Struthio camelus: one gene and its partners. The protein of the gene in region 1 binds, or shares a complex with, the protein of each later gene. Links are inferred from orthologs where the notes say so. Each region holds a gene or a part of one and is shown on either strand. Other genes may lie near its edges. The genes, in order: STX5, BET1L, STX7 and VTI1B.

The links.
Region 2: STX5 (region 1) and BET1L share a complex: the UniProt entries of both Homo sapiens proteins name them as parts of the SNARE complex. The link is inferred for Struthio camelus from reciprocal best matches to the Homo sapiens genes STX5 and BET1L.
Region 3: STX5 (region 1) and STX7 share a complex: the UniProt entries of both Homo sapiens proteins name them as parts of the SNARE complex. The link is inferred for Struthio camelus from reciprocal best matches to the Homo sapiens genes STX5 and STX7.
Region 4: STX5 (region 1) and VTI1B share a complex: the UniProt entries of both Homo sapiens proteins name them as parts of the SNARE complex. The link is inferred for Struthio camelus from reciprocal best matches to the Homo sapiens genes STX5 and VTI1B.

What each region holds. Positions count from the first base shown.
Region 1 is NC_090976.1:561,327-568,867, reverse strand, and holds the start of STX5 (syntaxin-5), read right to left. Parts: upstream 3,015-7,541; 5' UTR 2,919-3,014; intron 1,775-2,918; 5' UTR 1,762-1,774; coding exon 1,567-1,761; intron 1,470-1,566; coding exon 1,399-1,469; intron 1,283-1,398; coding exon 1,227-1,282; intron 1,121-1,226; coding exon 1,050-1,120; intron 965-1,049; coding exon 848-964; intron 770-847; coding exon 713-769; intron 633-712; coding exon 551-632; intron 422-550; coding exon 321-421; intron 245-320; coding exon 123-244; intron 53-122; coding exon 1-52. Other genes in the region: speckle targeted PIP5K1A-regulated poly(A) polymerase-like, read right to left, coding at 3,213-3,332, 6,114-6,170, 6,259-6,401, 6,492-6,547, 6,619-6,719, 6,825-6,926. UniProt on the Homo sapiens protein: Mediates endoplasmic reticulum to Golgi transport.
Region 2 is NC_090946.1:7,685,352-7,692,646, forward strand, and holds the start of BET1L (BET1-like protein), read right to left. Parts: upstream 3,002-7,295; 5' UTR 2,809-3,001; coding exon 2,661-2,808; intron 2,220-2,660; coding exon 2,128-2,219; intron 1,399-2,127; coding exon 1,342-1,398; intron 1-1,341. Other genes in the region: RIC8A (synembryn-A), read left to right, coding at 4,493-4,576. UniProt on the Homo sapiens protein: Vesicle SNARE required for targeting and fusion of retrograde transport vesicles with the Golgi complex. Required for the integrity of the Golgi complex.
Region 3 is NC_090944.1:71,939,689-71,947,171, forward strand, and holds the start of STX7 (syntaxin-7), read right to left. Parts: upstream 3,009-7,483; 5' UTR 2,904-3,008; exon of another isoform or gene 2,887-2,903; intron 2,716-2,886; exon of another isoform or gene 2,687-2,715; intron 2,482-2,686; exon of another isoform or gene 2,338-2,481; coding exon of another isoform or gene 2,298-2,337; exon of another isoform or gene 2,225-2,297; intron 1,573-2,224; exon of another isoform or gene 1,446-1,572; intron 1-1,445. UniProt on the Homo sapiens protein: May be involved in protein trafficking from the plasma membrane to the early endosome (EE) as well as in homotypic fusion of endocytic organelles. Mediates the endocytic trafficking from early endosomes to late endosomes and lysosomes.
Region 4 is NC_090946.1:46,592,374-46,599,275, forward strand, and holds the start of VTI1B (vesicle transport through interaction with t-SNAREs homolog 1B), read right to left. Parts: upstream 3,011-6,902; 5' UTR 2,881-3,010; coding exon 2,766-2,880; intron 1-2,765. Other genes in the region: retinol dehydrogenase 12, read left to right, coding at 4,710-4,912, 6,539-6,657. UniProt on the Homo sapiens protein: V-SNARE that mediates vesicle transport pathways through interactions with t-SNAREs on the target membrane. These interactions are proposed to mediate aspects of the specificity of vesicle trafficking and to promote fusion of the lipid bilayers.

The DNA of each region.
Region 1 (7,541 bases):
GCCGTGGGCGGCCTCCACGTTGAGCTGCGCGTCCTCCACGCTGGCGTCGATCCTGGGGGCAGAGGCGGGCGCTGAGGGCGGGGAGCCCGGCGCGGGGTGAGGGGGGACACGGGGGCCGCTACCTCTGGATGGTCTCCTCCTGCTCCTTCACCATGTGCGCCAGCTGCTGGAAGATGGAGCCCAGCTCGACGATGGTGGACTCGATGTTCTGCATGGTGTCGGCCCGGCTCTGGATGTACGAATCCTGCGGGGCGGGAGAGGGTCGGGGGGCTGCGCGGTCGGCCCCCGGCGTCGCTGCCGCCCGTCCCCCGTCCCCCCACCTGCTCGTGGATGAGCTGCAGCTGCTGGCCGCTCCGCGCGTCCATGTCGATGGCGACGTCGGCGGCTCGCGGCGCCTCCTCCCGCAGCACCGCGGAGCCGCCTGCGGCAGAGCGCGGCCTGAGCGCGGAGACGGGGGGGCCGAGACCGCCCCGCACCGAACGTCCCCCCCCACCACCACCCCATCCCTCCGGGGTCCCCCCCCCCCGGCCCCGCCACGGCGAGCGCTCACCCAGGTTGCCGGCGGCGAGGGGCAGAGCGGAGACGGGGGCGCGGGAGAAGTGCTCGCGGCGGCTGCGCTGCTGCTTCAGGTTCTGGGGGGAGGCAATGGCGGGGTGAGAGCCGGCGCGGCGGCGGCGGGGGGGAAGGCGACGGCGCGGGGGCGAGCGCTTACCTCCGTCCTCACTTCCAGCACGGATTTGAAGTCGTTGGACATGGAGGCCAGCTTGGACTGCGGAGGGGAAGGGCGGCAGGGTGAGCGGCGGGGCGGAGGGAGCCGCCATCGCCGCCGCCGCCGCCGCCATCGCACCTGCAGCGACACCACCACCGTGTTGGAGTGAGTCCGCACGTGGCGCCCGCTCTGGCTGCCCTTGGCCCGCACCACGTCCTGCAGCTGCGCGATCTGCTTGTTGAGGCCGTTGATGTCCTGCGGGGCGGGGGGGGGGAAGGGGGGGGGCGTCAGCGCGTCCGTCCGTCCGTCCGTCCCCGCCGCCGCGTCCCCCGGCCCCCACCTGCTTGATGATGTAGGTGAGCTCCTCGATCTCCACCGCTTTGTCATCGAAGAGCGACTTGCGCTTGGCCACTGCGAGGCGGAGGGGGGTAGAGAAGGTGGGGGGGGTCGGGGGGGTGAGGGTCTTCGCCGTCGTGTCCCCCCCCACCCCGCGTTGCGCCCCCCCGGCCGCACTCACGGATCGTCAGCTTCTCCAGCTTGGCGAAGGTGTTGCTCAGGTCCTTGCCGATGCGCCTGCGGCGGGACGGGGGCGCCGTGAGAGCCGGGGATGGTGTGTGTGGGGGGGACACACGCGTGGGGGCCCCCCCCCAACTTCACCGCGACCCCCTCCCCACCCCGCCATCACTCACTTGGCCATGACGGCGAACTCGCTCCGCTGCCGCGCGGCGCTCAGCGCCGGTCTGCTGGGCTGCAGCCCGTTCTTGGGGGGGGGGGACGGATGCGGGGAAGGGGGGGGGGTGAGTGGGGGGGGCAGCGTGTGTCCCCCCCCCGTCCCCCCTCTCCGTTTTAGGACTCACCTGCCGGCTCTGCAGCGACTTGCAGGCGGAGAGGAACTCCTGGGTGCGGTCGCGGCAGGACATGGCGGCGGGGGGGGCGGCGGCGGTGACGGGGGGGCCGGCGGCGGAGGCGGGGGGCAGCGCCTGCGTCCGGGGGGGGCCCAGGTAGACGCCCTGCTCCGTGTTCCTAGAGCCGTGGCGGCGCCGCGCGTTCATCGGGGCTCATCACCTGCCGCCGGCCGGGCGTCAGCTGGGGGGCACCCGCTGCTGCCGGGGGGGGACCTCCGCGACCCCCCCCCCCACTCCCCTCCGTCAACACCTGCTGGGGACCCAGGCGTCCGGGGCCTCCTGCGGCCCGGGGACCCAGGCGTCCGGGAGCCCCTTGCTTCTCCTCCTTCTCCAACCTTCACTAACACCTTGGGGGGGACCCAGGTGTCCGGGACCCCATTGCCCCCCCACCCCCACCCCAATTCCCCTGAGAGGGACCCAGGCGTCCGGGGACACCCCCCCTCACCCTCCCCACACCCCTACGGTCCGCTGGGGACCCAGGTGTCCGGGAGCCCTCGCTCCCCTCCTCTCCCAGCCCTGCTGACACCCTGGGGGGGCCCAGGCGTCCGAGGGACCCAGGCGTCCGGGGGTTCCCCTCACAACCCCCTGCAGGGGCCCAGGCGTCCAAGGGACCCAGGCGTCCGGGGGTTCCCCTCACAACCCCCTGCAGGGGCCCAGGCGTCCGAGGGACCCAGGCGTCCGGGGGTTCCCCTCACAACCCCCTGCAGGGGCCCAGGCGTCCGAGGGACCCAGGCGTCCGGGGGTTCCCCTCACAACCCCCTGCAGGGGCCCAGGCGTCCGAGGGACCCAGGCGTCCGGGGGTTCCCCTCACAACCCCCTGCAGGGGCCCAGGTGTCCGAGGGACCCAGGTGAGTGGGGCTTCTCTCCCAACCCCCGGGAGGGGCCCAGGTGTCCGAGGCCACCGTTCCCCCCCTCACCCCCTCCCACCCGAGGACCCAGGTGTCCTGGACCCCACTGCCCCCCCCAACCCCTACTAACACCCTAGAGGGACCCAGGCGCCCGAGGGACCCAGGTGTCCTGCAGCCCACTGCCCCCCCCACGACCCCCAGGAGGGGCCCAGGCGTCCGAGGGACCCAGGTGTCCTGCAGCCCACTGCCCCACCCCCCCCCCACGACCCCCAGGAGGGGCCCAGGCGTCCGAGGGGCCCAGGTGTCCGGCACCACGCTGCCCCTCCCCCAAACCCCCGGGAGGGGCCCAGGCGTCCGAGGGACCGACGGCTCGGGGCGACCCCCCCCCCCCCCCCCCCAACGAGCGCGGCCGACCCGGAAGTGCTCGCGGCCCCGCCCCGCCCCCCCCGCGCTCACCGGGCCGCGGCTCGAGCGCGCGGCGCTGCTGCCCGGCACCCACCGGCCCGGCCCGACGTCACTGCCACGTCTCGCGCCGCGCGACGTCAGGCGCCGCGCGCGCGACGTCAGGCGCCCGCGCCTTAAAGGGGCGATGGCGGCGGGCGCGGGTGGGGCCCACCTGAGATACCACCCCCACCCGGGACACCCCCCCCACGCAAAATCGGGGACGCGGGACACGAGGGGCGACACGAGAGTCCTTTATGGGCCGGGGAAAGAGGCCGTTACGGGCCGGGGGGGCCCCGCGGCGGCGCCTCACGTCGTCGCCTTCCGCTTCTTGGATGGCGGCACCGTCTCCATGGCGGCCCAGAGCGCCTCGGCCTCGGCCTCCTCCTCCTCCTCCTCCGCCGCCGCCGCCGGGGCCGGGGCCGGGGCCTGGCGGGGACCGCGGGTGACGGGCGGCAAGGGGGACCCGCCCCCCCACTTCCCCCCGTGTCACCCGTGTCCTGCGTCCCCCGTGTCCCCCCGACATGTCCCCACGTCCCCCCGTGTCACCTCACATCCCCCGTGTCACCCGTGTCCTGCGTCCCCCATGTCCCCCCGACATGTCCCCACGTCCCCCCGTGTCCCCTCACATCCCCCGTGTCACCCGTGTCCTGCGTCCCCCCGTCCCAACATGTCCCCACGTCCCCCCGTGTCCCCTGTGTCACCCGTCGTGTCCCCCTGACATGTCCCCATGTCCCCCCGTGTCCCCTCACATCCCCCGTGTCACCCGTGTCCTGCGTCCCCCATGTCCCCCCGACATGTCCCCACGTCCCCCCGTGTCCCCTCACATCCCCCGTGTCACCCGTGTCCTGCGTCCCCCCGTCCCAACATGTCCCCACGTCCCCCCGTGTCCCCTGTGTCACCCGTCGTGTCCCCCTGACATGTCCCCATGTCCCCCCGTGTCCCCTCACATCCCCCGTGTCACCCGTGTCCTGCGTCCCCCATGTCCCCCCGACATGTCCCCACGTCCCCCCGTGTCCCCTCACATCCCCCGTGTCACCCGTGTCCTGCGTCCCCCCGTCCCAACATGTCCCCACGTCCCCCCGTGTCCCCTGTGTCACCCGTCGTGTCCCCCTGACATGTCCCCATGTCCCCCCGTGTCCCCTCACATCCCCCGTGTCACCCGTGTCCTGCGTCCCCCATGTCCCCCCGACATGTCCCCACGTCCCCCTGTGTCCCCTCACATCCCCCGTGTCACCCGTGTCCTGCGTCCCCCCGTCCCAACATGTCCCCACGTCCCCCCGTGTCCCCTGTGTCACCCGTCGTGTCCCCCTGACATGTCCCCATGTCCCCCCGTGTCCCCTCACATCTCCCGTGTCACCCGTGTCCTGCGTCCCCAATGTCCCCCTGACATGTCCCCACGTCCCCCCATGTCCCCTGTGTCACCCGTCGTGTCCCCCTGACATGTCCCCACCTCCCCCCGTGTCACCCGTGTCCTGAGTCCCCAATGTCCCAACATGTCCCCACGTCCCCCCGTGTCACCTCACATCCCCCGTGTCACCCGTGTCCTGAGCCCCCCCAATGTCCCCCTGACATGTCCCCATCTCCCCCCCAATGTCGTCCCATGTCCCCACGTCCCCCGTGTCCCCTCACATCTCCCGTGTCACCCGTGTCCTGCGTCCCCAATGTCCCCCCGACATGTCCCCACGTCCCCCCGTGTCCCCTGTGTCCTGCATCCCCCCGTCCCCCCAACATGTCCCCACGTCCCCCCGTGTCCCCTCACATCCCCCGTGTCACCCGTGTCCTGAGTCCCCCCAGCGTATCCCCCCAATGTCCCCCCATGTCCCCCAAAATGTCCCCTCACATCCCCCGTGTCCCCTGTGTCCTGCATCCCCCCGTCCCCCCAACATGTCCCCACGTCCCCCATGTCCCCTCACATCCCCCGTGTCACCCGTGTCCTGAGTCCCCCCAGCGTATCCCCCCAACATGTCCCCATGTCCCCCAAAATGTCCCCTCACATCCCCTGTGTCACCCGTGTCCTGTGTCCCCCCAACATGTCCCCCCACGTCCTGCGTCCCGCCATGTCCCGCCATGTGCCATGTCCCCTCAATGCATCCCATGTCCCCCTCAACACGTCCCCCATGTCCCATGTCCCTTCAACATGTCCCCCAATGCATCCTGTGTCCCCCATGTGTCCCAAGTCCCCCGTGTCCCAAGTCCCCAATGTGTCTTGTGTCCCGTGTCCCCCATGTCCTCCCATCCCAACATATCCCATGTCCCAATGCGTCTCGTGTCCCCCACATCTCCATGTCCCATGTCCCCCAATGTGTTCTCCCATGTCCCCTGCTCCCCCGATGTGTCCTGTGTCCCACCATGTCCCCCAATGCATCCCATCTCGTGTCCCCATGTCCCCCGTGTCCCAAGTCCCCCGTGTCCCATGTCCCCCCAATGCGTCCCACGTCCCTCAACATGTCCCCATGTCCCCCTGTGTCCCAAGTCCCCCATGCCCCATGTCCCCCCAATGCGTCCCACGTCCCTCAACATGTCCCCCCCATATCCCCCCGTGTCCCAAGTCCCCTGTGTCCCATGTCCCCCCAATGCGTCCCACGTCCCTCAACATGTCCCCATGTCCCCCTGTGTCCCAAGTCCCCCATGCCCCATGTCCCCCCAATGCGTCCCACGTCCCTCAACATGTCCCCCCCATATCCCCCCGTGTCCCAAGTCCCCTGTGTCCCATGTCCCCCCAATGCGTCCCACGTCCCTCAACATGTCCCCATGTCCCCCTGTGTCCCAAGTCCCCCATGCCCCATGTCCCCCCAATGTGTCCCACGTCCCTCAACACATCCCATGTCCCCATGTCCCCCCGTGTCCCCATGTCCCCCCATGCCCCATGTCCCCCCAATGCGTCCCACGTCCCTCAACACATCCCCCCATGTCCCACCGTGTCCCCAAGTCCCCCGTGTCCCAAGTCCCCCCAATGCGTCCCACATCCCTCAACATGTCCCCATGTCCCACCGTGTCCCCAAGTCCCCCGTGTCCCCAAGTCCCCCGTGTCCCAAGTCCCCCCAATGCGTCCCACATCCCTCAACATGTCCCCATGTCCCACCGTGTCCCCAAGTCCCCCGTGTCCCAAGTCCCCCCAATGCGTCCCACGTCCCTCAACACGTCCCCCCCGTGTCCCCCCCCCCCGGCGTCCCCGTTTCGCCCGCGTCCCCCGCGCCGGGCGCTCACCTCCCAGTCCTGGCGGCCGCTCAGCAGCAGGCAGGTGAGCCGGGACTTCAGGTAGACCTGGAGGGGGGACGGGGACGGGCTCAGGGCCGGGCCGGGGTTTTCGGGGGGGGGGGGACGGAGGGGACAGGCGCGCGCGGAGCCCCACCTTGTGCCGCGGCCGCCTGCAGCCCAGCTGGTGGACGCAGAGGAAGCGGTCGAGGCCGCAGGAGGCCACGAGGGGCAGGCTGGGGTGGCACTGGAGACCCCGCACGCCGCCCGCGACCCCCTTCAGGCACTGCAGCAGCCGCCCTGGGCGGGGAGGGGGGAACAGGGACAGCTGGGGTGAGGGGGGGGCCACCGGCCACCACCCCACCGCCGGGCCACCCCGCCGCCCCTCACCTTGGCGCAAGTCGATCACGGCCACGTCCCCCCGGGCGCTGCCCACCACCACCGAGCTGCGGGGCAGAGCAGTCAGGGTGGGCCCAGGCGTCCGGGCGTCCCCCCCCCCGCCACGAACCGGACTCACTTGGCCCCCGGCGCGAGGGAGAGGGCGGTCAGCGGGTACTCGCCGAAGGTCGTCTCCAGCACGGGCCGCCGCTGCGGGGAGCTGGGGTCGTAGACGCGCACCTGGGGAGGCAGCAGGGTCCGGCGCCGGCCCAAACCGGCCCCCAAAAGCGCCCCCCACCCCAAAAGGGCCCCCCTTCCCCCAAAAACCGGTCCGTGCCCCCCGACCTGGTGGTGCCCGGTGCACGTCACGATCTTGTCGGAGCTGGGCAGGAACTGGAGGTCGCGGTCCCAGACGGGGACGCGGAGGTTGAGCCAGTCGTTCCTCACCTGCGGGGCGGTGAGTGGGGGGGGGGGACGTTTGTGGGGGGACATTTGGGGGGGGACATTCGCGGGGGGACATGCGCAGGGGGACGTTCGCGGGGGGGACGTTTGCGGGGGGACGTTCGCGGGGGGACGTTCGCGGGGGGACACACGGGGGGCTGCAGCCGGCGCGTGGCCACCCCCGACGCTCGCAGGGACGCCGGGACACTCGCGGGGACGTTTGTGGGGGGACACTTGCAGGGACATCGGCCCACGGCCGCCCCCGAGGCTCATGGGGACATGGGGACGCCCGAGGGGGCACTTGGGAGGAAATGGGGGGGGACGCTCATGAGGACACGCAGGGACGCGGAGGACACTCGTGGGGACGTGGGGGGACACTCGTGGGGATGGGCAGGGACACAGGGGACACTCCAGGGGACACGCAGGGACACAGGGGACACAGGGGGATGCTCATGGGGATATGGGGGGACACTCGGGATGCACAGGGACATGGGGGACACTCGTGGGGATGTGCAGGGACATGGGGAAACTCACGGGGTCACGGGGGGACACTCGGGGACGTTCATGGGGAGGCAGGGGGACAGGGGCAGGGCCACAGCGGGCGCACGGCCACCGCCGACG
Region 2 (7,295 bases), on another chromosome or scaffold:
AGTTCAGTCATTTTAATTTTGACTCCTGGCCTGCTTTCCTTATTCATGCATTATTTGTAGCTTCTACTCATGTTTCTCCCGAAATCTTTGAAAAGCTCCCCTAACAGAAGCATAATTTCATGTTTATTTAGGACTTCTCCTTTAAGCTCTTTGCCATAACATCTTTTACTTTGATTCTCCAGTCGCCTTAATTTCCTGGCTGAGTTAAGTATCCATTTCAGATACTGCAACACTGTCACTGTGTGCTGCTATTAAGATTCCAGCTGAGCTCACATCTTTGACTCAATTGGCTTCAATGCCACAATTATCTTCTCTCCAGTCCACCTACCAGTTGTCAAAAATGCAGCATGTGCAGAAAAGTCTCTCAAAGCAGCAGTGTTACTGTGCTAACCTTCTTCTCAAATAGCTGTGTGGGATTCCCTTCCTCTCACAGTTCAGTTAATGAGTTATGTTTCTCCCAAAAAGCCTCAGCAGGTAAGCCCTCTGCTACTGCCTCTGCTACAAGTCTTTCCTCTGCAAGTGCTACATAACTTTTTAAGGTATTTCAATTTAGGTAACGCTGCAGAAACTAACAGTGCGACCTAAATATAGGAATATTTAATTTGATAGGGAAAATCTAGAGGCAAGAGAAACCTTACCTTGTTTTCTGACCTTAAATGATAATATATTTTCTAGGCACTAATATAGTAATCGGTCATCCTGGCCTTTCCCCACAGCACGGGGATTCTCCATCAGCAACCAAAGCTTAAGAGGCAGATTACTCCGGAAAGTGACTTTGGTTTTATCAGCCATTGTGCATGCGATGTTTATGTTACCTCTAGAAATTAAAGCAGAATGATAACAGAACAGGGAACCTAACAACCTGATTGCACTCTGAGCGCGAGCCTTGCTCCTTCCAAAGACATCAGTGAACCCTGACAGCTATTCTGTGTTTCAGAGATTACAGTGAGTAATCCTGACAGATTTATACAACATTACCAAAAATCACAGAAGTAACCGAGGAATAGGCCCATCTCCCAGTATTAGCTACAGGAGGCAGGTCTTTAATCCCAGTAAGTAGGTAATCTCCATCTGTATTGCTGGAGTACACTGTCCTACGTGGGTGTTTCCAGATGCTAGATACCTGGCTATGCTGCCCATTCAAAGCGGTATGAGCAGCTAATGTTTATTTATCAATAAACCCACAGTAAGCGGGTTTAGTTGAATTATGTGGCTTGCCAACGGGAAAATCTAACTTTTTCTCCTTTACTGAACTGCTATTAACTTTCACAAATAAGGTAACTGCTTGAGAGCTAGCCCCCCCAAAAAAACCATGGTTTTTACGTTTCATTGCTTTCTTACCATGCCATCCAGGTAATGGTTTTGTTCATCAGCATCTTTGTCAATATCCAGAGCCAGCTATACAGGATGAGGGAGGAAACAGGTATTAATGAACTTTTAACATGGAGACCACCTCTAGCGCATCCAAAGCTGGAAAAATTTGAAACGCAAATAGAAGAGCAAGCCACCACCTCCCCCTGCCTCCTGTATAGAGTTACAGAGCCTTGTTTGGTACAATGACAGAACAGGATTCTCATTTCCGTTGATGACTGTTTAAATGATTTTGCTCTATAGCACTGGAAGTAAAGCATTACTATCAGACAGAAGCTTCATATATATGACACAAGCATTTAAATATTCACAACAGCAGAAATCAGTCCTACCTGCTATAATACTAATCACTGATTTACACTAAGTTCTAAATCAAAGTACTTGACGTTAGCAGGGGCAAACTAACTTTTAGAACACCACATGCGTACATACCTGGGTATTTTTCAAAAGTAGCTTGTCATTTTATTGTGACTTTTCTTCCAGAGGAGATGCACTTAGCAACACTCCTCTGTGCATCTCTCAGGTTTCTCTCTGTGCCTAAAACGCCTTACCTGATGCCGCTTTTCACTAGGGAAAGTTGACTATTAGATCCACTACAACATTCTCTTAAGAGCTGCTTATAAAGAGGAAGCCCTCTGTATCGGCCAGAGGTTTGCGTCTCCCACAAGGCGCTGTGAGGAAGACGAACAACGCAGGCAACTGAAGCCCAGGTAAACTTCATTTACCGCAGCCCCGGATGCGAACTCAGCAACTCACCGATTTCAGCCTGGTGACCTTGCTGGCTAGACTGTCTGCCATACGCTTGTTCTCGGCATCTAACATATCCTCCACGGTGCTCGGACTCTGACCTGGCACAAAAAGAGAAAGGGTTTTATCGGTCCCACTTACAAGTGGCAGCATGTTCGCTCGCCCCAGGAGGAGAGCGAGTTCGCTGTGGGACGGGTCGCTGCGGCGCTCCGGACGGGCCGTTTCAGCCGCCTTCGCGCTTCCCGCATCCCACGGCGCAGGGGACGGATGGCGACCGCCATGAAACGCCCTCCCTCCCCCCCCAAGCTCTTCCACCGAAAGGAAGGGCCAGAGCCCTCGGGAAAGAAATCCTGAAACGTGCCGGGGGGCTTTAGCCGCCAAAAGTAGCTCTAAAAAAGCGCGGAGGCGCGCCAGTAGCCCTCAACGCCCTCGCTTGGGGGACGCGCGTTGTCCCATGCACCAGCGACAGGGCGCATCTCCACAGAACGCTACTTTGGCTAAAGGAAGGAAAAGGCCAGTTTGTTTTTTTTTTTTTTTTTTACCCTTCCCTGCAGCGGGGTCAGGCTGTAAAAGCGCTTCTGGGCTTCGCTGGTTTTTCTGTCCCCCAACACCTCCCCTCGTCATTGCCCAGGCAGCCCCGCCGGCATCCCCGCAAGGGCCGGCGAGAAGCGCGACCCTTTCCGCCAGCATTTCGGGGGGCCACAAGCAGTCGCCGGTGGGGGGGGGAGGCGCTACCGACGCTGTCACCCCGCGCCGCGCCGTCCCCCGCGGGCCCCGAGGCGGCGATCCCCCAAATGGCGGCGACGGCGGCGATCCCCCAAATGGCGGCGGTGGCAGCGCGCCGCACCCCACAGGGCAGCGGGCAGAAGGGAACCTCCAACCCGGCCCGGCTTGGCCCGTTCCCCTCTTCCCCCTCACCTCGGCCCCACTCCGCCATGACGGCGCCCGGCCCCGGCGGGAGGCGGCGGTGCGGGCCCGCCTCGCAGGCGGAGCCCCGCCGGCCCCCCGCCTCTACAAAATGGCCGCCGCCGCCACCGCCGCCGTTTTGGCGGGGGGGGGGGGGGGGGGGAGAGCGCGACGCAGGCTCCTTCCTCTTCCTCCTCGGCGCCGGCGTTGGGGCGCTCGCGGTGTCCCCCCCCGCTCCGCCCTCTCCCCGAGTGAACTTGTGAGAGAAAACCCGGGGACGGGGAGGGGAGAAATGGAGGCGCGGCTTCCCTTTGGCCTCACGTAGCGCCCCGAGAGGCGGAGGCCGCCCGCCCAGCCCCGGGCCAGGCGCCGCGGTTCACCCGCGAAGCCCGCCGGGGGCGGCGGGGCAGGGACGGGTCCGCAGGGGCAGGTAACTGCGCTCCGCTCGCCGCCGCCGGCTCCCGCGGAGGCAGGGAGGGAGGGGAAGGGCTCGGAGGGGCCTCGGCGGGCGCAGGAATGGCGCGGAGGGAACTTAAACGAGGAAGGAGGGGAGGGGGGGGAGTGAAGCAAAAATGAGAAGTGCTGCAGCCCGCTCTTGCTTTTTCTGCCCCCAAAGCCGCAGGGAAGCGCAGCGCCGGAGACACAGCATCTGTCCTGGCTCACGCTTGTAGACCCGCATCTGCTCGTTCACGCCCTTACCGTGAAGGACCTTGTCTGCTGAGGGTCTCAAGCAGGCCAGCCGTCATCCGGATGTGTGGTTTCGAGGCGTACGCGGTGTGTCTGCCCTGATCTTTCCAAAACGCAGGCACCGAGGGCCCCGGTGCACGGGGTTATCCCCTTCAACAGGTTCGGCAAAAATCCTAATGATTTCTACCTTTTTCACCACCTTAAAAGGCAGTCTTAAGTGAGCCAGGATGGTATTTGCCTCTCTGCCTTGCTTTCCTCTCCATCCCTTTTTACTCCACAGGAGTCTGTTTTTTTTTTTTTTTTCCCTCCCCCCTGCTCCTGGGCAGTAACAGAAATCAGGACAGCCAGAGGAGGAGGAGGCAGAGAGCTATTTCAGGGAGCTGCTGTTATCTGTTCTATGTTAATCCTCTGGCTGGGTGGGGGGAAGGTTTTCCTGAGTGCTGTGCTGGGAGGGCAGATGTTAAATGTTGGGAGGCAAAGAGAAGAAGACAGGATTAGAGGGAGAGGGAGCTAGCGCCTGGTTCTGCTTGCGTTATCTTATCTGCTCTGCTTTTATGGACGCAGCGGAGTGAGCGATCCCACTTGTGTTTTGGGGGTTTTGTTTTGTGTGTGGATTTTCTTCTCCCCCCTTCCCTCCTTCCTTTCCCCCACCCCTTTCTCACTCCCTCGGTTCTCTGTGTATCAAGGTCCCTTCGCATCAGCGTTGTCCAGGAGCTCTGGAAGTGCCCTCGCTCCCCTTCCTGCCTGTTTCGCCTCCATCAGCAGCTGAGCTGGTGAGATAATGGAGCTGAGGACTGTGGTAGCCACGGTGGAAAGCGGGGAGCAAGACACAGTTCTCAAGGTGCTTCAGGTCTACAACCAGGAGGTGAGTGAGCACCAAACCTCTGCCTGACGTCAGCTGCTTCTGTTTGTGAGCCTAGAAGCAGGTTGGCCATGTTGTGGGATTTCTGTGCCATCCGGCGGTCCCCCGTCTGTCTCCTCTAAGCGCATCTGTCTCTGCATTACTGCCGTAAAAATGTTGTAGACCGCTTCATCTTTTGTTTGCAGACGGTTTTGTATTTCGTGTTTTGGTAAGGAACAGCTAAGCAGCATCTCTTCGTCTTATTTCCTTGGTGTACTGGAATTAAAGCACATAGAAAGCATTTTTTATTATCCGGAGCACAAGTAAAGCATGGTAGGGAAATAAACATCAGCATGAATATGAAGTAGGAGGAGCTTTTAGGTTAAAGCAAGGTTTGGAGGTAATAGAACTGAGGCCCAGGGAGGAGCTGCAGGTGAAATAGTGGCTGTGATTTGCAAGCAAAAGATCACCAGCGGTGGACATGGATGGACTGCTGGAATTAGGTACAGGTGCCTGATCTGAAAGCTAACAATAAGAAAAGGATAAAAAATGAATATAGGATATGAAAAGAACGGCTAGGAAGCAGAAATGGAAGTGTTCCTAGCCTTAAAGCAGCAAAGATGATCTGTGGGGGTAGTTCCCTTTTGAAATAGACTCTAGCTGTCAGGGAAATATCTCTTAGAGCATTTCCACCAGGATAGGGCTGGCCCTGCAGATCTACATGACTCATTCTGCACTGTTCTTAAGCAGGTGGGAAGCAAGCAGGGAAAAACTGCAAGTATTGTGCACAAGTGTGCACGGGGAAAATGTGCAACTATTCCCAGCAGTCACTTTCGAAACATTGGAAATCTGAACTAAGAAGCAGAAGGTCCCCACTAGAAAGACGGTCAGCAGGATTACAGTCACCTACAGTGGACGTAATGCTGAAGAAATCAGGAGAGCAAAGAGGGAGTTTAATGTGTCAAATTTAAGACGTTCTTGGTAGAATTCCTCCAGCTGGATCCTTTGTCGGTGTATCAAGCGTAGGAAACTTGTGAGAATGTCAGTGATTTTGCTAGTCGGTCTAGAAGAAATGGAGCAGTCAAAGAGGATAGGAAACTACAAATAAACTAAGCAACTTCTCTACATGAGTTTTCACTGCAAAAACTGATAGTAAGGTATCACTTCCTGGGCATGTTTTTGGAATGCAGTTTGCTATTATAGATACGGTCGATTCTTGGTTGCCAGGAATGAAATACGGGAGGATACTCCAACTGAAGCAAAACCACAGGTATTGCAGCAACCCATACGAATGAGATGACAGGAACTTGCAAAAAAGATGTGATGGGAAAGGAAAAGAACAAGTGACATGGCGCTGTCTTCAGAGCACACCGGTTCGAGGACTGAACTGCCAGTTCCTTGTAATGTGGTGCTACAGCCTGTGTGCGTACCAACTCACAGCGCTAAAGCATGGAAGGCCAGCCCCTGGCACAGCGCTTACAGGAATTCAGATGTCCTGCTTCTGCACCGAGGTTTCTTAGCTGGCATGTCTGCATCACTGTATCCATCCTTCTTTGTTCTAGGCCAAAAAAGCCAAAGCTGTCCCAGGGATCTTAGTAACTGTGACGCTGTTGATCTGCAAACTGTATCGTCTACTTACAAGTAGCCAGGAGCTGGCCCTGTGTGTAAAAGGCAGTGAACAACAGAGGAGATTATGCTTGCAGAGTGAATGAGTCAAGGCTAACAAGGAACACGTGTGATTTCCAAAAGCTCAGTGCAGACGATCACTGACTGCAGTGAGCAGGGAATGAGATACAGTTGGACAACTGAGCAGCTCATGGGCAGGAGAACCATAAGGTGATACATACCGTAGGAGACAAGCTGAGCTATTCAGACATACGGATGGGATCTCGGTGAACTGCAATCACTCAGGAGAAGAATTAGTCCAGGTTATAAGAATGATTGTTTGTGGTAAGACTAATTGTCTTTATTGAACAGCTTCGTAAATGCATCTGTGCAATGTAACTTGGCAAAAGAGGTGATGGGGAGCGTTAAGAAAATGATGGAGATAATGACATCCGCAAACCTCTGTCTAGCTATATAAATATTGACCCTCCTTACGCTTCTTCTCCCAGAAGACCATAATGGGTAAAGTTCTGGGACCGTCTTATGCAGGAGATCGGACTGACTAATCTAACGGTCCTTGTCTGTGACTTGTGAGACAACACATTGGTGAAAGGAAAAGCTCCTACACCGCACGGTTGATCTGTGGACCTCTCTGGCAGAAGTGCTCGCAGAAGCAGAAAGGTGAATAGGATGGAGTGAGCTGTTCTGTATGCCTGCTGTTAGCAATACGTTCTTTGCAGTACTTGTTGTGAAGCCTGGCTTATTGAGAGCTGCGTGAAAGAAACTGCAGACTTCAGATGAACTTGTTTACCTCCCCACCCCGCAGTGCCGCCCAAGTTGGTGGGGGATATTTATGCAACGTTTTGTGGAGTTCAAGTGCAAGTGCAAGTTCAAGTACTGATGCAAAGTAATGCAGGGCAGTAAAGCGCACCCTGTGAGACGCCATGTGGAGAAGGGTGTTTACCTTTGCTAATCAGTTGTGTGTAAAGAACATGAGCTGAAAAACAGTTGTACTTCCAGACACTGTGGGAATGAAGAACACAAGGATCTGTTTGCAAATAACAAGAGGCAGTACTTCCTTTCCGTAAGGAAATGGAACAATAAATATCAAGGGGAAAAAATGTATTGGCACAGCTTG
Region 3 (7,483 bases), on another chromosome or scaffold:
CAAACTATAAACGTGACTTCCTTTGTAAAGAAATCTCTGTCTCCCCTTTCCCCTCAAAAAAGGATTTGTACAAAATCCTTCACATAAGGAGAAAACAGTCAAAAAGGATGAACATGTAAACAGCAGAAAGATTCTGGCAAAAAAGTGACAGTGAGTCACAATCTTAGCTTTAGAACATTAATGTCACAGTAATAACTGATTAATAAGATTTCTGCAATATGACATTGCTCAATCTATTTCACCTCAGTAGGTTTTACCCCCCATAGTACCGAGATGACACTAAGTGCATCTAAAGATTGACACTGGCAGCTATTTAAGGCAGCCCAAAACACATACTGTCTTTGGACAGCAGCTCTTGCTGACCTTGGCAATCCCTTTGGAGTAGGTAAAATTAAACTTAAAAAAATTAAAGCTCTTGGAAAAAAGAACAGACTCTACACTGTAAGGTAAGTACTCCCTACTACAGCACCAGAGGGATGTTCATAATTGACTTAAAACACTGTATGATATACAGGTGAGAATTAAAACTATTTTCTCCAGCAGGGATGAGGGAGGCAAGTTTCGTCTGGATGCATTTACTTTTTTTTCTCCCCTTATACTTAGGCTGAAGTATTTTGGAAAAAAGAGATCATACTTTCCACCTTGTGCTTCTGCAGTTCCTAACATGCTGCATTCCTGGACCACAAAGGGACTCTGGGCACTTCCACAACACCAGAAAACCTATGGAGCGTAATATACATGCAAACAGAACAGGCATAAAGAGTATTCTTCCCTTTCTACTTAAAAGGAATACTAAAGACTCTGGATGTTAACTTCCATCATCTATCTTCAGGCCAAAGTCAAACTTAAATCCACACAGGGTACTGAGGAACAACAAAGTCTCTTTAAAACTTCCGTTGTTCTTATGCAGTAAGTGACATAGACGACATCAGACGGTATTTTTCTATTTCACTCTGCTAAGTTACTGCATACGTTGCACCCCGCAAATCAGTCACATACAACATACAGTAAAATGCTTTTTCAAAGCTGTGTCTACAACCAATATGGGGACGGTTTGATTTCCCTGACAAAGTCTACAGCTGTCCAGTTAATTGTCAGAGTAAAACGGAAAGTGTTTAATTTTTGTAGATTTTAAACTAGACTGCTAACAATTTCTGATTTACCACAGTGACAGAATCACACAGGCTGGGGGCGGGGGGGGGGACTTCAGGAGGTCTCTAGCCTGACCTCCTGCTCAAACCGGAGTCAGGAGTGAGTTTAGTCAAATCCCCTTTTCTCCGGGCTAAGCAAGCCCAGTTCTCCCAGCCTTGCCTCAAAAATTAGGCTGAAACACACCAAAACCAAGTTTTACTTTATGTAATTGCTGGAAGTATTTCTTTTTTTAAATATGAAAAATAAGAATTATCAGACTGTGCAACAAAACACGTTAGTTCTCAAGGAAATACCTTAACAAGGGGAATTATGTTCCCCAGAGAACACAGAGCGTTTAGAGGCCTGACAGCGAAGCTGGAACAGTAAAACACACACTGGATACTGGAACTATTGGGGAGCGAAGGAGAGGGAGCAGCTGGGCTGAAAGAGGAATGGAGATGGCTTTTTCAAAGTGCCCCGTTCCTTATGATCCAGGCTAACAACATCTTACGAGAAAACGAATACAGACCAACGCCACCGAACACCTAGTGCAATACACCTTTTCTTATCCAAACCTCCCTAAAGAGAGCTTGTGCACCTTTAACCAAGGGCTCAGATTAAGTATATTGATGTAGAAATCATCTTTGCGTAAGGTTTGATTGTGCTAGATGCTGATTCTCTCCAAGGCCCACCAAGACGATGACTTAGAAATTAAGACCATGAGGAGTATGCAAAGAGCATCTCTTCCACCTATGCCACCAACATAAGAGTAACTTAGTATTTGCATATGAGGTTACAAAAGATATTGTCATGCAGGATATACAAATACAGTTTATGGCAATGCCTCAACGTAGCATTTAGCATCCCTGTTTTAACGTGTTTTAACTTCTGTTTTCTTCTTTCCTTTTGCTAAGAGCACTCACGTAAATCCCAAAGCTTAAAACAGCAGGACTGCAGTGCCGCCGAAACACATGACGGTATGACTATTAGTCACGAATCCTCCAGGCAGCTGCACAGCACTCGCCCTGCCGGCACATTTCTGCAGCTGGGCACTGCTTGTTTATCAGGGGAAAGGGTGAGAAGACGCGGTCACCTCAGTCCCGGCCATAAGTATTCCCAGGTTTTACCATTAAGTGCTTTGCACTTCATGCAGAGCAGAGCCAAACCTTTCACTTCCTCCTGTAGTTGCAAGTGTCTGCGTCTCATGCGGCAGCAAGGCGCTCAACGAGAAAAGCAGCGATAACGCTGTGCCACAAGCCCAAAATGCCAGGCCCAAGCTCACTATTTAAATATCCGTCTGACTTTTATAATCTTCCTTCCCTCCGCTGACGTGTTTTGCTCATCTGAGGTCTGAAACAACACGGGGAATGTTTTGACACGGCGACGCTGAACATCACCACGGAAAACCAGCCCCGGCCACACACGTGAAAACGCACCATACCCTGTCCCAAATACCGCCTTCAGGCCCCATTTCCCCCCTGGACACACCAGAGCTGACACAAACGTTACCCCCCCCCCCGCCCCGGGGCGCTGGCAGGGCCGCGCCGCCCCTCACCGCGCTCCTGGCCGCCCCTCTCCCGCCGGGCCCCGCGCCGCCGCCGCCGCCGCCAGGCCGCAGCCCGGCCGGCCCCGCGCCCCGCTGCCGCCCGGGAGGCGGCCCGGCCCGGCCCGGCCCGGCCGCCAGGCCCGCCCGGCAGCCGCCGCGGCTCCCACCCCGCCGCCGCCCCGCTCCGCGCCGCGCAGCCCCTTCCCCACCCGGCCGCGGGTCTCACCGGCCCCGGCGCGCCTGCTCCCCCGGGCGCGGCGGGCGGGCGGCAGCGAAGGGGGCGGGCCGGGGCCGGGGCCTGGCCGCCCGGCACAGCGCGGCGCGGCGCTGCGCGGCACCGCCCCGTGCCGTCCCGTCCCGTCCCGCCCCGGCCCCGGCCCCGGCCCCGCCGGGGGCGCCAGTGGGTGAAGGGAGAGTGGGTTTGGGCGCTGTTGGGGGGCTGGTGCCCCGCTGCGTGCCGACCCTGCCGGCCGAGGTTTCTGGGTTGGGGGGGTGTGGGGGGGTTGTTTTGGTTTTGTTTTTGCTGTCTGCATGGGTTCAGGCTTGAAAAGGCGGTAGTCCTTCGAGGGTGCGTGCAAGGCAGTGCGCACGCAGAAGAAAAAAAGGAAATGTGTATGCACTTTAGCCAGCTTGTCAGCACACTGTGATCGTGCATGAGTGAAAGAGTTGCCTATGTGAGAATGTCATTTAAGGAAAAGATGCTGTTGCAGCAGAAGTTTATATATTTATGCACGAGGTAGTGGTGGAACAATGAAGAATTCAATGTCATTACATTGACTTCCATAGCATCCTTCGCTGAAGCACGACTTCCAGTTCTGGTCACTTCATCTCTAAATGGAAGTGGGCACTTCTAGAGGCTGAAGGTGGGTGGAAAATGATAAATTTATTTAGAGGCCTGTAATCAGTAATTAGCTGAGAGAGAAGGCAAGAAATGTTTAGAATAATGAAAAATGAAGGGTACATACACGCATTTGTTAGCAGTCAGTTTAGTGTGTCAGTAGTAACTGATGGTATATAACTGCAAATGCAGCAGAAGACGTGGTACCAGGAAGCAGAGCCAGGAAATGGGGGATCCGTTCCCCTCCTGACCCAGTTACCTGAGAAAAAGGGACAAATGAGCCTTTAGGCCTCTTGCATCGCAGCTGGGAATGCTTCTGGATCCTGCTTGTCTTTTTGAAGGGAAAATTACAGGGTCAGATGTTCTCCAGCGCGCTGCAGGCTGGCCTGCTTGGTGTACAAGACGCTCCCGTGTACATTAAATACAGCAGAGCAAGCAGTGCACGGTATGTGATTGCTCTGGAAAGTAATCTTGTCAGCAAAACCCAGCTTTGTCTAAAGACGAGCTACAGACATTGGAAGGTGTACTCATTTGCCAAGCCTTGACCTGCCTCATAGGCACGGTAGTTTACTTCTGCTATGACATAAAGCTCAGTCATTGCTAAGGTTTAGAAATAATCAGAACAATGAAAACCTTAATAACATCATAATCTAGTAACACTAATAAAGAAGTCCAGTAAAATACAGAGTTCGGTGAAGTTAAAAAGCCTGAAGTATCTACCCTTTTCAGAAAGGGTGCCCCTGACATAGGTGATTTTTAATGTGTCTCAAAGTATGCTGCAATGAGAGACAATGTAGTCTCCAAGACTGGTATAGCTACACATATTTCTTTCATGGATTGATGCTGGGAAATGAACTTTTTTTATTTGTATAAGTTAAAGTTATTAAGAAAAAGCATTTTGATATGTCTGTCCTTCCTTTCATTTGCTGCAGGCATGGTGTACATCTCTTCATTCAATTTTTCACGTGCCACTTTGATAAGCAACTATCCTAGTGCTGCTATATTTGTGGGGCTTTTTTCCAAGTATTGTTGAAGTACTCAGTCCAAGGTAATTCCACTAGGTGGTGCGTTCATGACAGTATAATTCGCTTCCCTTCTGAATTAAGGCCCTGCCTTGATTTTTATCTTCACATTTTTGTCATATTGATTGATTTCTCTCCATTGATTAAGCTCAGTCACTCTTGATTTATAAAGCCTCAGCTGAGATCACTGTCAGTTTTCCCCCAGAAAACAATATATCTCTTGCTATCTGATTTCAAATATGTACTTCTAATTAAAAAAAAAAGAGAAGTGACCCTAGTGACCCTTTGTGAGTGAGAATACTTTATCTGCAGATCATAGTTTGGATGCAATGTGCTGTCATCATAAACATGGGTCAATGTTCATTCTTATGCTATAGAAAAGCGGTATCCAAGTGCTTTCATAGAGACACTTGGTGTTTTATGGACAAAACGCTGCTGCTCACATGCTGTTAGTAGCTCGCTTAGCATCCGTCTTTTATTGTTCATCGGCTCAGAATTTTTGTGATACTGCTCTTTGATGTAGCAAGTTGCTGCAAAGATATTATAGCTTGGAAGGAACGTTGGCTTGTAAAGCAAACTCGTCATTAAAATGTTGTCCATACTATGAAAATATTTGAATTGACTCTTTAATATAATTGTATAAAATAATTATGAAGATACAGTTAAGAAACCAGCCAGAAAGTCCTGTTATTTGGTCAGATATTGCTAAGAGCACGATATGTCTTTTGAAGATATTTGTTATCTCCTATAGAAAAAACATTTACTAGGGAAATGCTGCTTTGCCTTACCCTTTTGGATAAAACGTGAGTATTCATTCAATTTCTGCATGGTTTCATTTACTAGCAAATATGGATGTTTTCAGTGGTGCTTACTCCATGAACAGGAGTTGTGAAGAAGCACCTCTTGTATTCAGAGATGCAGAAGAGAAGTGCTGCCACACAATTTTACGTATAAACTCATTTCATTGACTTATTTCTAGAGTTCCCACATCAGTTATTACTTGTGTACTGAGTTCAGAATCAAATACTCACCTCCTTAAGGAGTACCTTTCCTTCTGCTTTTGGAGCATGGTTAAATATCAGTTGACTAGGTGAAATGAGGAAAAGCCCTGGGGAGAGAAGGAAGAATGCTGAGACTCTGGGATGCATAGGTTTGGGGTACCATGGAGGATGCTTTGGATATTCTGTGACTGTGAAAATCAGGGTATATGCCATTTTATATTCCTGCTGCTGTGTGTAAAACTGAACTAAAAGAACTGTCACCTCAAAAGCGATGTCGTTTCCCCTTTTACTTTCAGACTCTTGAGGGTTCATATGCAGTACGGTATCTGATATTTGAAAGATTTGAAAGTGAACCAGAAACAACACAGCATGATTTTGAACTGACACACCTTTCTCCCAGACCCGTATCTGAATCCTTGGGCTCTTCCTGCTCCTTGACTCTGTATTTCTGCCTCCCACATCCTGCTCCTGCCCTCAGCCTTAGCCTGCTGCCACGCAGGGCCCAAGCACGGTGGCGGCCCTGGGCAGGCAGCTGCAGAGCAGGAAGGAGGTGCTGCAGGCACCAGAGCTGCTTTTGGCAGAGGAGCTGAGTAGTCGTGCCTGTGTGATGCACAAAGAAACGATAGGGAGGAGGCCCAGCCCTGTCCTCATACTCTTAATGAGTATCCTCTTTCCAAGGCGTGAGAGGTGTGTAAGTGGGGCATAATTTACCTTATGGGCAAATTTCATTCTCTGTTATCACATTTCGTTTATGCGCCTCTAACTTTAGATTTCAAGGGCAATGTTGCTAGTATTTGCTACAAATGGCAAACAGTCTAGCTGGATTTCCCAACCGGTTGCTATTAATGCACTCCATTAGAGTGAAGAATTCCTGTTCTTGTTGTTGTTTCTGTTTGCTAATTGAATCAAACTATCACCTCAAGAACCTGAAATAAGACGATGTTCATTTTACAGCAGATGCTGTACAAAATTATGACGTAAGAAGGTTTCCAGCCTGAACAAGCTTATAGACTAATTACATGGCCAAATGGCTTCTACAGCCTATTTGTTTAAATAACTCTACCAACCATTTGTGTCTTATTTAGGCTGACACTTATTCTCCAGCAGAAGTGATTAATGTGGTAATATATGTTTGAAATGAATGGAGAAGATTTCTGTTCCTAACATTGATAATATTTCCTAAAAAAGGATGAACATGAAGTTCACAACTTTTTTCACAACTTATTTTCACAACTTGTTTCCACAACTTTCTTTGCCTTTCTGTTTAGTTCCGTAAGACCATATTATGTTTTCATCCACAGCAGTGAAACAAGCCAATATTGATAGTACATTATATCAAAGCCTAGTCTTTAAGAAGTACCTTCAAATGCATAATCTTTCAAACTTCAGCCAAATCAAGGTTTAAAATGATAAGGTGCTATACAGGGCGTAAAATTAAATGGCAATATTTTGCTCAGATAAAAAAATACAGACGTACAGAAGGAAAGCTATTAAAGGGAATAAAATCTATGAACTAGAGGTCAGCAACCATTCTCGGATAGAACCTTATAGATTTTCATTTTGAAAACGAGGTCATTGTTGAGCAACAAAGCTTCATCATTTTAAAACTCATCATCATCATCATTTTACAATTCAGTCACCTTCATTGCTTTTCGAAAACATGGAGAAAAAAAGTCAAAGCGATCATGACAGAGTCTGACTTTGTAAACCAAACAGACATCAAAGGCAAAGGGAGGAGTAAGAAGGCATCAGTTATGACTGTTGAGAAACAGAGTGACCAGAAAAACAGGAAAACAATCGCAGCCAGCATCACAGCAGCTTTTCCCTCTCGGTTGCCTGCTCTGTCACTGTACATCTCAGTCAACTGGTTCTGCTTCTCTCTCTCTCTCTCTCTCATTATTCCAGCCTGCCATTTAGACAAAAAGGAGATCTTGAAGATCCTCTG
Region 4 (6,902 bases), on another chromosome or scaffold:
TGAACAGCAGCTTTTTAAGGCACTAAGCTTTCAACAGCTGAACAGGAGAAAGTTTTGAAGTGATCAAAACATTATAATATAGCTCCTCTCATTTACATGACGCACCTAAGCTGTACTGTTTTTTGTAAGTACAAAAAACTGAATTTCTTTAGAGAAACGTATATTTTAAACTGATCCAGGCTATCTGAAATGCTTTCTTATAAACGTGGAAGAGAAAAGGTTTCCAGATCAAGGATTCCGTTATCTTATCGGTACAGAACGGAATAGCATTTCCAAATTTGCGTCCCTCAAAGATGGCTACCAAGGAACTAAAGATTGTCTTACCTGGAGTTTTGGGAAGGTGCCGGACATCTTAAAAGGAGTGTGTAAAATTTCTTTTATTGTCTCCTGAAGTTCTCAGAATCAGATATCTCAAGAAAGAGAGACATGCACACCCCATATGTATTAGAAGCAGACAAAGCACACCAGCAGTGCAGCATGCCTTCACCAGATAGAGAAATTCCTAACATATCTTAAACTCTCTTGGAAATACTTTCCAGAGTATTATTGTTTTTTCCAGTAACAGATTTAAAGAATAACATCATTATACTAAAATTTTGTAGCATGTCTGAAATAATCAATTTGTAATTATTTGTAATCTTTTGAAAAATCTGCAAGCGTTGCAAAAATTGTTTCCTGTAAATATTGTTTACATCTACCGCTCAAGACTATTATAGTCTTGACAAAGCTCTACTTTACTGAAAAACTCATCACTCTCCTTTCTACAAGAAAGTGAGGATCTCTTATAAGGAATTTCTATTATTTTAATATTATAAATATAAAATTAAATTACAATAGAGAGTGTTGTACTTCTTGCTCTATGGAACTTTTCAACCCAAAGTAATGTTAGTGACATTCTCAATTCCCTCAGAGCCCTTCAAGTAAACAGTGATGCAAGCACAGTATTTTCTCATTCTTTTCCTTAAAGTCAGGTATTAAGAGACAGATCCTGCATTTCAAGGCAGCAGGGACAGTCGCTGTCTCATAAAACCATCTTCAAAAAATTTTATGCAAACAATATCCAGATTCACAGGCCATTCTCCAAGAGAGGGTATGTTTTTTACTCTTGCTGACCAGCAGTGAAATTAAGTCAGCTTTGAAAGTTGTAATTTGCAGTTCTGAATGTCCCTCTTGTGCCAAACTCTCTGGAACCTTGATAATGAGGATTGTGACCCTGAATTTAACTCAATATTAAATACAGAGCCAGATACGAAATGGAATACTAAGCTTTTCATAGCACGTGTTATCTAGCACGCAGAGTGGTAGATTCTGAACAAACCAATTATTTCCAGGATTTGTGATTTTATACCTAAATACATGGAACTAAGGAATTCTGGGGATCACAAGACTAAACTATCACAGAGCATGGCTTATAACCTCTACTCATTCAAAAGAACACCCATACTCAGAAGAAACTGGTTGCAGCAGTTCACGACAATTACGTATCGCGTTTCTCCTTTAAAGCAAGTATTTAACCAGAGTCGGCCACACTGGTAGAATTCTCCTTGCCAGATCACTTCCCTTTCCAGTTCTCAGAACACAACCGAATATTAAGAACTGAATTGGAAAGGCACTACAGAGTCTTTACAGAGAGGTGTTCTGTCAGAGAGTGTTTTAACCACTAGTATGAGCTCCATTACTTAGCAAAGAATTCCTAAACAATTAGATTTTGTGCCTAGCAGAACTTTGTCTAGTTTGCTTTACATTAGATTGTTTTTCTAGGCTGTGAGTAGGGCACAGACCACACTTTTAAAACAGTCTTTTACAATAGAAAATTTCACTGGTAAATAAATCTATGAACTGTTTCAGACAAACGTACTGCTGAAAACAGCTTCTAGTTCAACTGATGAGATTTTGAACTGAAATCTTGAAACAAGATAGCAACACTGATGAGAGAAATGCAATTCAGGCAGTTCACTTGCAAATAGCATGAAAATATGCTAAAACTTCAAATCCAGGTAAAGTTCTAGTGCCACCAAGTAACCACCTCTCCACCGAGCTGAGACTGAAGCTGAACGCCCAGCAGCACAGCAGCGCTTGGCTGCAGAGCTGCAATTTGCCAGGCAAGAGGAACTGCTCCCCAGGGGTAAAGTGACACAAGCACCCAGCTGTTTCCATGTCTGGGGCTTTACATGACTATGCCCAATACTCCACAGCAAAGCTATGAGAAAATAGCAGTAATGGGAAAATAAGACATAGAGAAGCCGGACCTAACAGAGCCACGACAGCATGACCTCCCAGGAAGCAAACCAAGGGACAGTCGCGGGGAAGGAAAGTCAGCTCGAAGTGATGCACCAACTTCCTGCAACTGTCCTAGCAAACTCCTTCCCTCCATAAGGGCTTTTAGAGAGACTCTGTTCTCTGGTTGTAAAAATGGATTTATCTACAGAAAAGCAACCCAGGCTCCCTGCAGCTGTCCTGTTAGTTAGCAGGCCCCACCTATGCAGCGGGGTGGCCGGCCGGGAAGCACCGGCAAGGGCCCGGCAGAGGGGCCTCCGAGCAGGGAGGAAGGGAAGCAGCGACGAACGGCGCAGCGACCAGACCCCGCCACAGCCAGGGGAACGGCCCCTCGCCGGGGGAGGTGTCCGAGGGCCGGCCAAGGCCCTGCCGCCCGGTGGAGCCCAGCCGGGCCCGTCACGGCCGCGCCCGGGGGCCGTTGGCCGCGCGCGCCGCTCCAGCCCCTCCCCCCCGGCCGCGGGTAACGGCCGCCGCTCTGCCCCGCTCACCGGCCGCGCTGCCGCGCAGCCGCTCCGGCACGCCCCGCAAGTCTCCGTGCAGCCCCCGGAAGATCTCATGCAGCCGCTCCAAGTGCTCCGAGGAGCCAGAGCCCCGGCTCGCCATGGCAGGCAGCCGCGTCCCGCCGCCGCCGCCGCCGGCTCCCGCGTCCCCCGGCCCGCGCCGCTACCGCGCGGCTCGACGCATCGCCGCTTCCTGGCGGCCGCTTCCCAGCCCGGCGGCGCCGTGGACCCCCCGCTCCGCATCGCTGGGCGCCCCGAAGCGCGGCCCGACCGCAAAACCGCCCGGTGCCGCCGGCCGCACGGCCGGCAGCGCCCCCCCCGGACCGCTCCCCGCGGGGCTCGACCGCCAGCCGCCTGGCGAGAGGGCTGGCGCGGCGTCGGCAGCGGCCAACGGCCGCCAACGGCCGCGGGGGGCGTCAGGCGCTGCCGGGGCAGCCCCGAGGCGGGGCGCGGGGCCTCGCGCCGCGCAGTGCCCGCTGGGGCGCGTAGGCTGCGCGGGGGCGGCGGGGCGGGCGCGGCTGAAGCTGCAGCCGATGTTTCCCGGCCCGAAAGAGGCTTTACGTGAAACGTCTTCGTTCCGACTGCGATGGCAGGTCGCGTCTGCGGTTAGCGTCTTTGTGTCGTACAGGTGGTATACCTTGACAGGAAGGCACGCCCTGAAACAGGCTTTTTCCCCGGAGGGGTGTGTGTGTGCAGGGCCCTGGGTTCCAGCTGCTTCTCGAGAACCAGGAAGGCGGGCTGCGGCCAGGCCGCCGCGCTGTCTGCAGCTGGGGCCAGGACGCGCGTCTGCAGGGAAGCTCAGGTACCAGGAGGCAAAGCAATTTGGTGCCCCGGACTTTTGCTTTAACTCTCTGGTAGAGGTGAGAGTGAACATCTGCGGACTGAACACGGACTTGGAGGCAGGAGCGTGTCCCCCAGCCCTTTATATGTGTGGGCATATAGGTATACGTACCCATTTTGTACGTTTTGCTGGGGTTAATATCATAAATTTAGGAATGACGCTAAGAAAGGGCTTAAAGATAAATGACCTTACTTTGACGTTTTGCATAACTGTCCTCCAGACCACTCCTGAGCTTTCTCTTCAGGTATTTCCCAGCCGAATAATAGGAAAGTTTTATTAAGACAGCAGAACTATTGTTTAAAATAGTTCAGAAAGACAAAGGTTAGAGATGTGTACTCCATCGGGAGAAAACATTAGACCGAAGGTGCAGAGCCAGCTGGCTTTATACTGCAAGCTGATATTTCAAGTAGGGTAGTACATTTACAGCAAAGAGCTAAACGTGAATCTCTTAGCGTAGCAACCAGGCTCAGTGGAAGAGGACTCTAGAGCAGCTAGCACAGCTGAAATTCCTTTCACCTTAGTGGAATTAAGTGACATTAGTGGGTGAAGTAGGGGCATTGCACACACGTGTGAGGTGCCTGCTGTCTTGCAAACGTTGCTCTCAGGGCAGCACAGCGCCGAGCCCCACAGCCAGTGTCCGACAGCCAGGGTGCCCAGACCTGCGCGGTGGTCTCTGAGCCGGAGGGGATGCTCAGGGCGGCACCGGGGAGGCTGGCCCGGGCACCGGCCTGCTCCTCCGCAGCCAGGCTACTGCTGCAGCGCCGGGGCAAGCAAGCAAAAACGTGTCGTTCGCCCACAGCGCAGGCAGGGATTTAAACGAAATCACAGCGTGGGTAACTTTAAGGAAAACCTAGGGGGGACATAGAGCTCTTCAGCCGTGATCGAGGACACGCGGAACCGCACCGGACCTCCGCGGCCAGGAGGCAGCGGTGCGCGCCTCCGCCACCGGGGTCCGCTGCGGGCTCCGCTCCTGGGGGGGGGGCGGCTCCGGACTACAGCTCCCGGCATGCCGTGCGGGGGGGGGCGGTGGCGGCTGCGGACTACAGCTCCCGGCATGCTGTGCGGGGGCCCTCCGGACTACAGCTCCCGGCATGCCGCGCGCGGAAGCGGCTGCGGACTACAGCTCCCGGCATACCTCGCGTCTCGGGGGCGGGGCCTCCCGTTGGCCCGGGCTGCCAGGCAGAGCGGCGGCGAGCATGGAGCCGGCGGCGGCGATGCTCAGCTGCTGGGGAGCCGTGCTGGGGACGGCTGTCTCACTCCCGCTTCTCCTCCTTGTGGCAGCCCCCTACCTCAGGTCTGTCGGGGCTGCTGTACGCGTGTTTTGGGTGCGCGGGGAGCCCTCCTGGGCGCGGATGGGAGAGGGGGCAGGTCGCGTCGTCCGTGCCGGCGCCGGGAGCGGGTGCAGCACCCGGGCGCAGGCCGGGGTGTGTCGTTATTTCAGGGGTCCGGGGGCCTAGTGTTTGCATGCGCGTGAGTCTGTGACTCTTAAAAAAAAATAAATAAATAAAAAAGCTCGTACAGGAATTTAAGCAAGGCGATCGCAGCCAGCCCCGTCTGGCGCCGGCTGTGTTAAATCTGTGCAAGCTCTCAGCGGGCTTGGTTTCTGCGTTCGTAAAATAAATGAATAAATAAATAAATACAAATCATTCAATGCCTGTGCAGAAAATAAAAGATATATAGAAATATCCGTTCTTCAGTAGCACCTTTAATGTCTAGGAAGAAGGATTAGGTAAAAAAAAATCCTGGTTGCTTGGGTCTTTGTCCCCATCAGGTTTTAGGTTTTTTTTTAAAAGGAAGGTAAATAAAATAGTTTTTTTTTTTAACCTCGTGGGGCTAAAATGTTACTTCAACTTCTCTAGCTCTCGTGTCTAATTAACAATGTATTTGAAACAATCTCGCGCATGCCCTAGGATTTGGGATGCTCTTAGGTCTCCGCTCAGTTTTTGCCCTAGTTTCTGTGCTCTTCTGTATCAGCTACTGGGAGACAATAGAAAGCAACAGCTGCCCCAGCTGCGAGCAGTAGGCTGGCTCGCACCTCCGTCTGCTCCTCGAGAGGTGGCTTGAAATGTTTCTGCCTGCCTTTCCTCAGGCTCCCACAGCTGGAAATTTATTCCGGGAAAGGCGTCCCGCCTAGGAGGCAGAAATACAGCTGCGCCGCTGTATCCGGCGGTCCGAGCGGGGCTCCGGCGGCGGCGGCTCGGCGGGGCGGGCAGCCGCCGCCGCGCCCATGGGCTCAGCCGCCGCATGGCCGCCTGCCGATGGCGGCAGCCAATGGGGAGCCGTGGCTCCACTTTGTGCAACGGCGCGGCCGGGCGAAGCCGGCGCGAGGGCGGCGGTTGGAGGGCGGCGGGGGCCCGACCGAGAGCGACGCGACTGGCCTCTCCCGCCGGGCTAGCGGCGTGGCTGCGAGTTTCTTGGTGGCAGTGCGGCAGCACGGCGTGGAAACCCGAGCCTCACCCGCGAGGGCCTGGGAGAGGCGCCTCTGTGCCAGGCGGTGATGGTGCCCGCCCTTCTGTCCTCGCCGAGCCTTCCTCTCCGCACGACTGGCCGTCAGCTGCGCCGAGGGTGAGCTGGGCTTGTCGGCTCTGTGTTCGAGCACTGGCGCTACGCTCAAAGCAGAGGGGTTTGAAGATGACTAGGAACCTGGCGTGGTGGCTTGATCGGGACACCTAATCAGAGGAGGCAGCTGCTGGAAGCTTGAGGAGGGAAGGAGGGGTGTAGTGAACTGGCAGGTGGAACCACTTTAGGTAACTCTCCACATGAATCACAGGTTATTCTGAGAGCAGTAACTGGCCCAGCTGCTGGGGCACAGCCAACCAAGAGCTGTAAGTGATTAGCCCTGGCCTGTACCTCATAACCAGAAAAACTGTCCTTGGACCTTTTCTTGTTATCCTCTTGTTCCTGTTATCTTCTTTTCCAGGAGGTATGTTGCTGGAGGACAGTGTAAGTCAACAGCTAAGCTAGATGGGAAGGTGGTGATAATCACAGGAGCCAACACAGGCATTGGGAAGGAGACAGCCAGAGATCTTGCACGAAGAGGCAAGTCACTGTCCTACATCAGCAAGCATCCCTTTGAAACTGATATGTGTGCGCATGTGTATCAGTAGTCCCTTTTCTGGATCTAAGGGAGGATTATCTTGCACTCCCATCTATAGAGTTGGGAGTCTAACAGATAGCACCTAGTTATCCTTTTTCTTGGTGAAAACCCCAGCTGCAAGATATAATGGTGGTGGGAACGTGTCCTGATGGCACATTACTCTGGTGCAGAGGCCCGAACAGCCTTT